Struthio camelus: one gene and its partners. The protein of the gene in region 1 purifies or fractionates together with the protein of each later gene. This does not show direct contact. Links are inferred from orthologs where the notes say so. Each region holds a gene or a part of one and is shown on either strand. Other genes may lie near its edges.

What was found.
Region 2: the proteins of HSCB (region 1) and SDHAF1 purify together in Homo sapiens (co-immunoprecipitation; 3 studies listed by BioGRID and IntAct, with this or other methods). This does not show direct contact. The link is inferred for Struthio camelus from reciprocal best matches to the Homo sapiens genes HSCB and SDHAF1.
Region 3: the proteins of HSCB (region 1) and ISCU purify together in Homo sapiens (affinity purification with western blotting; 3 studies listed by BioGRID and IntAct, with this or other methods). This does not show direct contact. The link is inferred for Struthio camelus from reciprocal best matches to the Homo sapiens genes HSCB and ISCU.

Annotation. Positions count from the first base shown.
Region 1 is NC_090958.1:20,910,399-20,914,142, forward strand, and holds the start of HSCB (iron-sulfur cluster co-chaperone protein HscB), read left to right. Parts: upstream 1-1,002; 5' UTR 1,003-1,035; coding exon 1,036-1,262; intron 1,263-1,577; coding exon 1,578-1,674; exon of another isoform or gene 1,675-1,880; coding exon of another isoform or gene 1,881-1,889; intron 1,890-2,081; coding exon 2,082-2,171; intron 2,172-2,776; coding exon 2,777-2,921; intron 2,922-3,114; coding exon of another isoform or gene 3,115-3,146; exon of another isoform or gene 3,147-3,198; intron 3,199-3,744.
Region 2 is NC_090957.1:1,947,400-1,951,055, reverse strand, and holds SDHAF1 (succinate dehydrogenase assembly factor 1, mitochondrial), read left to right. Parts: upstream 1-1,072; 5' UTR 1,073-1,222; intron 1,223-2,317; 5' UTR 2,318-2,358; coding exon 2,359-2,682; 3' UTR 2,683-3,120; downstream 3,121-3,656. Other genes in the region: TBCB (tubulin-folding cofactor B), read left to right, coding at 1-64, 161-233, 366-483.
Region 3 is NC_090958.1:18,837,754-18,841,497, forward strand, and holds the start of ISCU (iron-sulfur cluster assembly enzyme ISCU), read left to right. Parts: upstream 1-905; 5' UTR 906-953; coding exon 954-1,037; intron 1,038-1,128; coding exon 1,129-1,242; intron 1,243-2,024; coding exon 2,025-2,135; intron 2,136-2,809; coding exon 2,810-2,888; intron 2,889-3,289; coding exon 3,290-3,387; 3' UTR 3,388-3,744.

The DNA of each region.
Region 1 (3,744 bases):
CCCCCAGCGCCCTCCACCACCCCCCCACACACCCACCCCCCCAAACCCCACAGCGCCCTCCACCACACAGACACACACCCCCCATACCCCCCACCCCCACACACCCCACACCCACCCCCCCAGCGCCCTCCACCACCCCCCCACACACCCACCCCCCCAAACCCCCCAGCGCCCTCCACCACACAGACACACACCCCCCATACCCCCCACCCCCACACACCCCACACCCACCCCCCCAGCGCCCTCCACCACCCCCCCACACACCCACCCCCCCAAACCCCCCCGCACCCTCCAGCACACACACACCCCCCATACCCCCCACCCCCACACACCCCCACCCCCCCAGCGCCCTCCACCACCCCCACACACCCACCCCCCCAAACCCCACAGCGCCCTCCACCACACACACACACCCCATACCCCCCACCCCCACACACCCCACACCCACCCCGCCGCGCCCCCCCCATCCCACAGCACCCTCCACCACACACCCCCCACACCCCCCACCCCGCCCCCCACCCCCACACACCCCACACCCACCCCGCCGCGCCCCCCCACCCCACAGCGCCCTCCACCATGCACCCACCCCCTCACCCCCACACCCCCCGCAGCACCCTCTACCACACACCCCCGCACACCCCCCACACCCTACAGCGCCCCCTACACACACACGCACGCACGCACGCACGCACGCACACCCCCCCCCACAGGGCCCCCCCCACGCAGCCCGCAGCGCCCCCTGCCGCCCGCCCGGCCGCAGCAGCGCCTGCCCCTCCCCGCGGCGCCTCCCCGCGCCCCGCCGCAGCGCCCGAGTGCGGCCGGGCCGGCCAAGCTGCCCGGGCCTCCGGCGACCCGGCGGGGGGGGGCGGGGGGCGCGGGGGGCGAACTCACGGAGGGGAGAGCCCGCGCCGGTCGCCGCGCGGAGCCCGCGCCGCGCTACTCAGTGCGCAGGCGCCCCGCGAATCCTGGCTACGAACTGCGCCAATCAGGGCCCGCGGCGCCCCCGCGGGGGCTGCTGGGAGCTGTAGTCTGGGGATGCGGGCGGCGCTCGGGCAGCACCTGTGCCGCGGGCGATGGCGCTGCCGCGTTTCCGAGGCGGCTCCGCGGCCGCGCTGCGTCGGGCCGGGTTCTGCGGCGGCCCCGCGGTGCTGGAGCTGCGGCGGCCCCGTCCCCAGCGCCGGGGGGCTGCCCCGCTTCTGCCCCGCCTGCCGGGCCCTGCAGCCGCCCGGGCCGCGGCCTGACCTCTTCCGCCTCATGGCCTGGTGAGTGCCGGCGGGGCGGGGGCCGGGGCCGGGGCGGGGGGCCGGGCCGGCGGGGCTGGGGCCGGGGCTGGGCCGGCGGGGCGGGGGCCGGGGGCCGGGCCGGCGGGGCTGGGGCCGGGGCCGGGGCCGGGGCCGGGCCGGCAGGGCGGGGGCCGGGCCGGCAGGGCGGGGGCCGGGGCGGAGGCCGGGGGCCGGGCCGGCGGGGCCGGGCCGGCGGGGCTGGGGCCGGGGCTGGGCCGGCGGGGCGGGGGCCGGGGGCCGGGGCCGGCGGGGCGGGGGCCGGGGCCGCGCTCACGGCGCTGCTCTCGCCCGCAGTGACCGCTCCTTCCGCCTCGACGAGCAGCAGCTGCGGCGGCGGTTCCGGAGCCTGCAGCGCGCCCTCCACCCTGACCGCTTCGGCCAGAGGCCGCCGGTGAGTGCCGCCCGGGCGCCCCGGCCCCGACACGGCCCCGGACACGGCCCCGGCTCGGCCCGGCCTCCCCCCGCCGGGGCAGCGCCGCAGCCCTCCCGTGTCGGGCCGGCAGCGACTCCCCGGCTTCCGCTCCCGGGCTGGCTGGGGGGCGGTAGCGGGCGGCAGATCCCGTCGCCACCAGCCCTTGGCCTGGTCCGTCCCGGGAGATGGCAGAGGTACGGTTCTGGGCAGTCCTCTCCCCGTTCTTTGTATTTTACTTCTGTTAAAAAATGAACTTTCAGTTTTACACACATGTACTGCTGTGGAAATGTTTTTTTATCTGCAGGTGACTTAAGTGTAATAATATATTTTGTCCTTTATTACTATGAATAACTTGCTACTGAGTATTGTTTATCTTCTGTTGACAGAAAGAACAGTATTACTCTGAGCAGCACTCTTCCTTGATCAACAAAGCCTACCAGACTCTCCTGAATCCTTTGAGCCGCGGCCTCTATCTAGTGAGGTTTCCATTGCATACTATATTTATACTCTCATAACTAGTTGTGGGTGGTTAGGGCTTTTGGTGGTAACGTAATGAATCAGAGCTTTATAAACTTTGTCTCAGACTCCACCGCTAACGTGCTAGCTAATTCGTGTTCCTCTGAAGAAGAAACAGGACTGAAGGGAGACCAGAAACAAGCTTGTCTGAAAGTTATCAGCCTTTCTATAGAGCACTGTTTTCTTTAACACTTTGCTGATTGCTGTAATCTCGCTTCCTGCTTATGTCACTAGTTTAGTATGTGTTTTGCGCGTTTTCTTTGGCTATAGCTGTTGCTTTTCATTTGAAAAATGAAAAACAGTCTTCAGTCTGCTGAAGCAGTCTTCTTTGCGGTCTTCATTACCTTTTCTTGGCTTTGATTAACTGCTTGTTTTTAGGGTCTACCAGTAGAGTTAATTTTAACACAGACTCTGTTAATGCAGGCTTCACTGAGTAAGTTCACATACCTGAAATTTACCAGACAGGAGTCTGTGCAAGTTAGTAAAGACTTAGTATTTTAGAATATCGTTTACATAGAAATAGATGTATGAACATGGGTTTCCTAATTCCCATTTTCTTCATAAGCTGGAGCTGAATGGAATACAGCTGGCACAAGAGACGGACTGTGATGCTGATCCGGAGTTTCTCATGGAAATCATGGAAATTAATGAGAAATTAGCAGAGCCTAATAATGAGGGTACCCTTGAAGAAACTGAAACCTTAATTAAAGGTAGGTTGCAATCTAGCAGTTTTGTACAGAAGTAATTTACATTCCTGTATCTTTTATAACATGAAAATAAGTTAGTCTCTCTTAAGACTCTTAATTCTTTCAGTGCATTTCTTTTAGTGTCTTATCACTTACTTGCATTAGACTTGAACTGACTTGCTCCAAAGCACCTTTTTTTTTTTTTTTTTTTTTTAAGAAAAGTTATCTTTACCAATTTATGCCACCTGAAAGTCAAATCTGGCTTCAGAAAATCTGCATGAGAGTACCTATTCTGAAGGTATATAGGTATACCTGTATTGATTATAAAAAGGAAATTCTTGTTCAGCGGATAAGGGCAATTCGATTGTTCTAAAGGAAGGAACATTCAAAATGGGATTTAATAAAATACTTAACTGACCACAGGGTATCTCCTGGTTTCAAGGAGATAAATGTGTGATGAAGGAGCCCAAACTGAGTACTATTTTCTACCAAGAGTGGTCCTTTGTCAATGACAGGACTTCCAGACTTTCACTGGGTTCTCTCTTCCACTTGAAAACGTTGAGTATTTTGGTGAATACAGACGACAACTTGATAAAATATTTCATTAAAAGGCAGTTCATGAATCGGTGGTAGTGGAGAATCCAGGCAAGATGTCGGTATAAACTGATGGTGATAAGGTTGTGGAGTTTGAACAAATCTTTGCCTGCTGAACCAAGAGGATAAGCAAAGTGTGATGCGACGTGCAGTTTCTGTCAAAGCTTTTTGGTACAGAGGAGACTTAAGCCTATCAGCAGAATAGTTTCTCTACGTGTTAATGCAAATAACCGTGACATAATATACAAACGCA
Region 2 (3,656 bases), on another chromosome or scaffold:
GGCGCCCGCTGCCGCGTGCGGGTGCCCGGGCAGCCCGCCAAGCTGGGCACCGTCATGTACGTCGGTGAGTGGCAGCCGGCGCCCCGCGTTTTCCCCGAATCGCCCGCTCCGCCTTCGGGCCGCTGACGCTCGGCGCTCTTCCTCCTCCTCCTCCTCGCAGGGCTGACGGATTTCAAGCCGGGCTACTGGGTCGGGGTGCGCTACGACGAGCCGCTCGGCAAGCACGACGGCAGGTAGGCGGGCGCCTGTCCCCTTCCCGCTCGGAGCGGTGACTACAGCCGGAGCCCCCGGTGCCCGCTGGTATTTTTTTTCCGCGCTCCGACGCTGTTTTTCCCCCCTCCACCCCTTTTCCCCGTCTTTGCCAGCGTCGCCGGCCGGAAGTACTTCGAGTGCCAGCCCAAGTACGGCGCCTTCGTCAAGCCGGCGAGCGTCACCGTGGGCGACTTCCCCGAGGAAGACTACGGCCTGGAGGACGAGATGTGAGCGAGGCCGGCGCTCCGCCGCCGCGAGGGACGCTGACCCGCCAACAGGCGGTTGTTTCGTTTCCTTTTGTTTCCTTTTTTTGTTTTTTGGAGGAAAACGCTGTTTTGGTTTTTTCCCCCCCCCCCTTTTTTTCCCGCTCCGGTCCAGAGCCGGCCGGCTCGCCGCAGCCTCGCGTGCCCGAATTTCCCGGCCGTGCCGGATCGTCCCTGCTGCCGGTCCCGTGTACAAAGCCGCTTCGTCCCCCCCCCAAACAGAAAATTCCCCATTGCGGCGGTTTTTGCCCCGTTTTCTCACCGCTGCTTTTTATTTCTTTCCTTTTTTTCCCCTCTTGTTGCCGTCGGCGATCGCTGCGCCGGGGGCCTCGCCGCCGCGCCGCTCTCCCGCCGTCCCGCGCCTCTTTTGGGGCCGAAAGCGGGAGGGTTGGGTTTGCTCCCGGTAAGTTATTGTTCGCTTTGTCCCGCCGCCGGGGCCCGTCCCTTAAATAAAGCCCCCGAGGGTGAAGCCGTCGCCGTGGCCACCGGGAAGGGGGTATTTTTGGGGGGGGGGGGGGGTTGGAGCGGCCCCCGGGAAGGAGCCGCCGCCGGTACCGGACCCCACGTGGTGGCAGCGCAGGGGTGGTGCCTCTGGGGGCGGGGCTTCCCCGCAGCCAATAGGCGGAGGCGCCGCCGCGCAGGGGGGCGTGCCCAGGTGGGCGGGGCCGGAAGGGGTGACGGCGTCGCGGGAAGGAGAGGCCGCGCGGGTGAGCGGGACGGGGAGACCCTACAATAACAACGCCGGGGGGGGGGAGCAACACAGCCCCAGGAGACCCTACAATAACAACGAGGTGGGGTGGGGGGGTGGAGACACGACCGCCCCGGGAGACCCTACACTAACAAGCGGGGTGGGTGGGAGAGAGACACCCCCCCCCCGGGAGACCCTACAATAACAACGAGGGGGGGATGGAGACACAATAACAACAGCAGGTGGAGACAAAACCAGCCCGGGAGACCCTGCAATAACAGCCTGGGGTGGAGGAACAACACAGCCCCAGGGGCTGTGACCCTACAATAACACACACACACACACACACACACACACACACACACACACACACACACACACACACACACACACACAGGGACCCTACAACCACCACCCCTCCCCAGGGCCACAACTCCACAACCCCTCCTCGGGGCTGCGACCCTACAACCACCAGCTCTGGGGCTGCAGCCCTGCAACAACGCTTGGGTTGCCACCCTACAACCACCCCTGGGTTCACAACCCTACAACCATCACTCCCAGGGCCACAGCCCTGCAACAACCCTTGGGCTGCGACTCTACAGCCACCACCCCCAGGGCTACAACCCTGCAACAACCCTTGGCCTGTGACCCTACAACCACCCCCGGGGCCACAGCCCTGCAACAACCCTTGGGCTGTGACTCTACAGCCACCACCCCCAGGGCCACAACCCTACAACCGCCATCCCCAGGGCTACAACCCTGCAACAACCCTTGGCCTGTGACCCTACAACCACCCCCGGGGCCACAGCCCTACAACAACCCTTGGGCTGCGACTCTACAGCCACCACCCCCAGGGCCACAACGGTACAACCACCACCCCCCAGGGCTGCAGGGCTGCAACCCTACAACCACCACCTCCAGGGCCACAACCCTACAACCACCCCCACCTCCCCGGGCCCACTGTCCGCCCTTGGCCGACTGTGCACCCCTAACAAAGCGCCTTTCCTTCACGTCCTGGGGGCACCGCAGCCAACACCCGGCAATTAACACCCCTGGCAATTAACACCCCCGCAGGGCTAACTGTCCCCCCTCCTTCCCCCCCCCCCAACCGCAGCCAGAGGCCGCTGGGGGCCGGATTCGCCCGTCCCCGGCGCCATGGCGGCCCGGAGCCGGCTGCAGAGGGAAGTGCTGAGCCTGTACCGGCAGCTGCTGCGCGCCGGCAAGGACAAGCCGGGCTCCGAGCAACGCATCCGAGAGGAGTTCCGCCGGCACGCCGGCACGCCGGCCGGCGACAGCCTGCGCCTCGAGTTCCTGCTGCGGCGCGGCCGGCGGCAGCTGGAGCAGCTGCGCGCCGCCAGCACCAAGCGGCTGAGCGCCTTCGGCCGGGCGGCGGCGGGCGCCGAGCCGAGGCTGCGGGCCGCTCCGGAGGAGAAACAAGCGCTAAAAAGAGGGCGGCCGGGAGACGGTGGCTCCTCCTAAAGGATCGCGGGTGCCGGAGGTGGGATCTGCTCGTTTCCGCCGCTGGGGATTATCGGGGGTTCGGGCCGGTTTGGCGGTTTGTTCCCGTCGCGTTGTGCGCGTTTTGGGGGGAACCAGCTCCGGTCCGTCCTGAAATGAGGAGGAGGAGGAGGGGGGAAAAAAGGAACGCGTCGCCTTCAAAAGGCTGTTTTCCGGTGACGGACGGAGTTTGTTCGCCGTTCCTGACGGAGACACCGCAGCGACTCGCGCCGTTCTCGCAGCAGCGTCACCCGCCCAAAAAAACGTTTTCCTCCTCAAACGGCACCCGGTTGCAATGCGGGGCGGGACGGCAGAGTTCGGCGAAAACTGGCCACCCGGGAGGGTTTGGTGCCGTTCCCGCTCGCGCCCCGGGCTGGCGTTTTATTGCATTTCTAATAAAGGCGAGTTTTAAAGTGGAGAAAAACAGGTTTTTGGGGGGTTTTTTGGGCAGCATGGCAGCAGCATCCTGCTCGACCGCCCGAAAAGTCGTAAAAACCCCAAAGCGCCTTCCCTTGGGGGGACGAGGCCAAAGCGGAGCCCAAACTGTTCTTTGTGCCACGCTCGGGGTAACGAGCGTGCCCGGAGCTGCCTGATTACGGCTGCGGTTTTTGCCCGGTTTGCGTTTGGCCGCGCTGCTGCTTTGGGGCAAACAGGGCACAATCGGTATCCTTTTAGCAGCGCCCTTTTCTTTTATTTTTTTAATGATTCTTTTGCCAAAAAGGCTGCGGAAAGTGCTTCTTTACCTGGCTAGCGTGCTTGTTCGCTGTGCAAGTCCAACGCCTAGCACGACACAACTTCAGGCTTTACACTAATCCAAGCAGTGACCGTATTGACATCAGTAGGTTTCAGGGTTAACAGCACACAGCAGTAAACGGTGCTGCGCGGCTTCAGGCTGCTGGCAGGTCCAGCAGAGGATGTCACCGAGGGCTGGAAATTTAATACGGAAAGTACTATTT
Region 3 (3,744 bases), about 2.1 Mb from region 1:
GGCTGCCCGCGCCGCGCCTAAGCCGCCGTCACGCCCTGCCGCCGGGCAAACCCCGCGGGGAGAGGGGCGAGCCGCCGCCCGCAGGGCCCCGCGCTCCGCCGCGCACCGGCACCGCTCCCGGCCGAGCGACTCCGGGCCGTCCCGCTTGCCGGCTGCTGCGAGGCGCAGGCATCGCTGCGGCCACCTCGGGCCCTGGCCGCCGGGGGGCCTCCGAGAAGGTCGGCGCGGGCCCGGAGCGCGCGTGCGCCGCCGGTCCGCCATGTTGAGTGTGGCGGTGGCTGGCGGGGAGCCCAACCCCGCCCCGGCCGCCAACGGCTGCTGCGCCACACTTCGCGGCCGAAAAAATAAAAAAAAAAAAACACCCCGAGCTACTGTTCATCCGTTTTAGTGACAGCGTTAGGGTTCTTGAAGACGGCCCAAAGCGTTCCCTCTGTTTACGAGATGGCTTTCCTCGCGTCCGGGTTACATCACCGGCGCGCTGCCCGAGGCGGCCAGATAACGTTCGCGTGGGCTCGGCCGCCTATCTTGCCCGAGCACGCGTCCCCCGCGCCCTCCGCCAGGCTGCCACACCGCGCGCCTCTCCCGGCACCAGCCCCGCCATGCCGCGGAAACAGCGGCGGACGGGGCGACCTGACGGCACCTGAGGAGCCTCCTGCGAGGGGGCGCGGAGGGGCTGGGGGAACCGCCGGCAACGTAACCGTCGGCTGAGTACTTGGGGGGGGGGTGCACCGAAGCGTGGGCCAGAGCCAGCGTCCGGGGAGAGACGACAGCCGAGAGGGGAAGGGGCTCGCCGGGAGCCGCCAGGCACGGCCCGCCCGCCCCGCTTCTGCCAGGCCGCTGGCCCAGGCCCGTGAGGAGCGCGGCCGCCCGCGCAGCGCCCCGCGGCCCCGCCCCCTCCCGCCGCCACACGATAAAAGGGCGGCGCGGCGCGACCCGCCCCCGCGCGGACCAAGATGGCGGCGCTGAGGGCGGCGGGGGCCGCGCTGCTGCGGCCCGGGCGCGGCGAGGCGGCGGCGAGGTTGGGCTACCACAAGAAGGTGAGGGGCAACGGGACGGGACCGGGGTGGGGGGGAGGAGGGCCGCCGCCGCCGCGGCGACGGGCTTTGGTGACGCGGTGCCCGCCCGCAGGTGGTGGACCACTACGAGAACCCGCGCAACGTCGGCTCGCTCGACCGCAACGCCAAGAACGTGGGCACCGGCCTGGTGGGCGCCCCCGCCTGCGGGGACGTCATGAAGCTCCAGGTGAGCGGGAGGGGAGGGCCCCCCCTTTCCCCCCCCCTTTCCCCCCTTCCCCTTTCCCCCCCTTCCCCCCCTTCCCCCTTCTCTTCTCTTTTCCCCCCCTTCCCCCCCCTTCCCCCTTCTCTTTTCCCCCCCTTCCCCCCCCTTCCCCCTTCTCTTCTCTTTTCCCCCCCTTCCCCCCCCTTCCCCCCTTCTCTTCTCTTTTCCCCCCCTTCCCCCCCCTTCCCCCCCTTCTCTTCTCTTTTCCCCCCCTTCCCCCCCTTCTCTTCTCTTTTCCCCCCCTTCCCCCCCTTCTCTTCTCTTTTCCCCCCCTTCCCCCCCTTCTCTTCTCTTTTCCCCCCCTTCCCCCCCCTTCCCCCCCTTCCCCCCTTCTCTTCTCTTTTCCCCCCCTTCCCCCCCTTCCCCCCCCTTTCCCCCCTTCTCTTCTCTTTTCCCCCCCTTCCCCCCCCTTCCCCCCCTTCTCTTCTCTTTCCCCCCCCTTTCCCCCCCTCCCCTTCTCTTCTCTTTCCCTTCTTTTCTCCTCTTCCCCCCCCCCCCCCCCCCCCGACTTGTGACCTTGGGGCTCCTCGGCCGCAGCGAGGCCTGCTGCAGTTTGGCCTGCCCCAGGGACGGGCCTGGTCCTGTCTGTCCCCCCCCCGCCCCGAGCCCAGGCAGGGCTTGTCGCTGCTCCCCCGGGGATGGGTGTGAGTCAGGTGCTGCCCCCCCCCCCCCCCCCCAGGGGTGGTTCAGGGGTGCCCGGTGAGGCAGAGCCGGCCCCTGAGGTGCTGCTGCCGACGTTCCCGCAGGTGGAGGTGGACGAGAACGGGAAGATCATCGATGCCCGTTTCAAGACGTTCGGCTGCGGATCGGCCATCGCTTCCAGTTCGCTGGCTACGGAGTGGGTTAAAGGGAAAACGGTAAGGGTCTCTGTGGAGGCAGTGCCGTGGAAAGCGTTTGAAGTTTCAAGCCCCACTGTGTTGGGGCCACCGAAGAAGCGGAGGCCTGGAAAGCGCTCTGGAGAAGTGGTGCTATGTAATGTACTAGCTTAGAAAGCTGTGCCTGAGAACTCTGTCCTTGTCAGTGGCCTGGCTTCTGGGGCAGTAGCTGTCTCCTCCAAGAACCTGCACTAATTTGCAGAGAAACGCTTTGTGGATTATACAGCAAGAAAAACAGATTGCAAGATCTGGAAAAAAACTTTTAAAACCACATTTTTCAGATTACTTACCCCCTTTTTTTTTTGGTGAGTTCATGGGTTTCAGTATTGTGCGGAAAAGGTAAACAAACTTAAAACAATTCCTTAGTCATGTTCAGTCCATAACACTAGCATGTTTTGGTTAGTTAACACTGCTGCTTGGCTTGAGGCATTCCTTGAGATTGTTACTTGGCTGGCACAGAAGAAAACTGGATAGATGTTGAGGGTCTTTCTCGTGTTAGCGTGTTGTCCAGCGTCCTTTGCTGCCAGGGGCAGTTGAGATATTCTTTGTGGATTCTGTTGGCCTCTGGAGCCTTAAAGCGCTCTTCTCACAAATACGTTTGGAGCCTGTATTATTTATCAGATGACTAGTATCTTCACACTAACTGTATGTTTCAGGTTGATGAAGCTTTGAAGATCAGGAATACAGATATTGCTAAAGAACTTTGCCTTCCTCCAGTCAAACTGCACTGCTCTAGTAAGTAAAGGACTAAGCTATTAAAGTCCAAAGACAAGTTTGTGGGAATAAGACTTCTGGCAATAGCACAGATGCTTCCAAATGTTATTGTCCAAATCAAATACCTGTACCTGGAACAACTGAGGCTGGCCTGCAAGAGAAAGTAGCTTATATTCGGGCTTTGGGGTGACATTACAAGTTTCCAAGTCTGTCATCTTTTGGGTTTTGTGTAGCTCAGAAGACTGGTGACAATAAAAGGTCTGACTCCTGACTGTCTGCTTCTAAAATACTGACCCTGTTCTCAAACTCCTACGCTAACTTCTGTGGGGTTTACTGCTGCTGGTTTTACTGCATATTGTGTTCAAAATGACTTCTCGCCTCTCTTGAAATAGTTGTAAGGCCTCGTTTTGTTTTCTTTGTAGTGTTGGCTGAAGATGCAATCAAGGCCGCCTTGGCTGATTACAAGCTGAAGCAGGATCCAAAGAAAGAAGAGTCGGAGAAGAAAGCAAACAATGCCTAAACTGACTGTAGAGCTTGTTCTCATTCCACTTAAATTTGCAGTGCAATTACTCTAGCTATTAGTAGGATCCTGTGCACTACTAAATGAAGCTGTAAGATACGCACAACTTACGCACAATGTGTCACTGTTCCATGTGTGTTAAGACACTTGTAGTGCTTAAGTGACTGGAATGTGGGTATTTCAGCAGTCTGTATCCTATCGTGACTATTCTTGGAAATATTTGGGTGAAGGAGACTGCTTAACTGCAGACAGCTATAGTGGCTTCTCTCAGAAGTGAAAATTCTGGTGTTCCAGTGCTGGAATGGCTGCACTTTTTGGAAGATGTATAGTTTTGCCTAATGTTTTACAGAGTTTAGT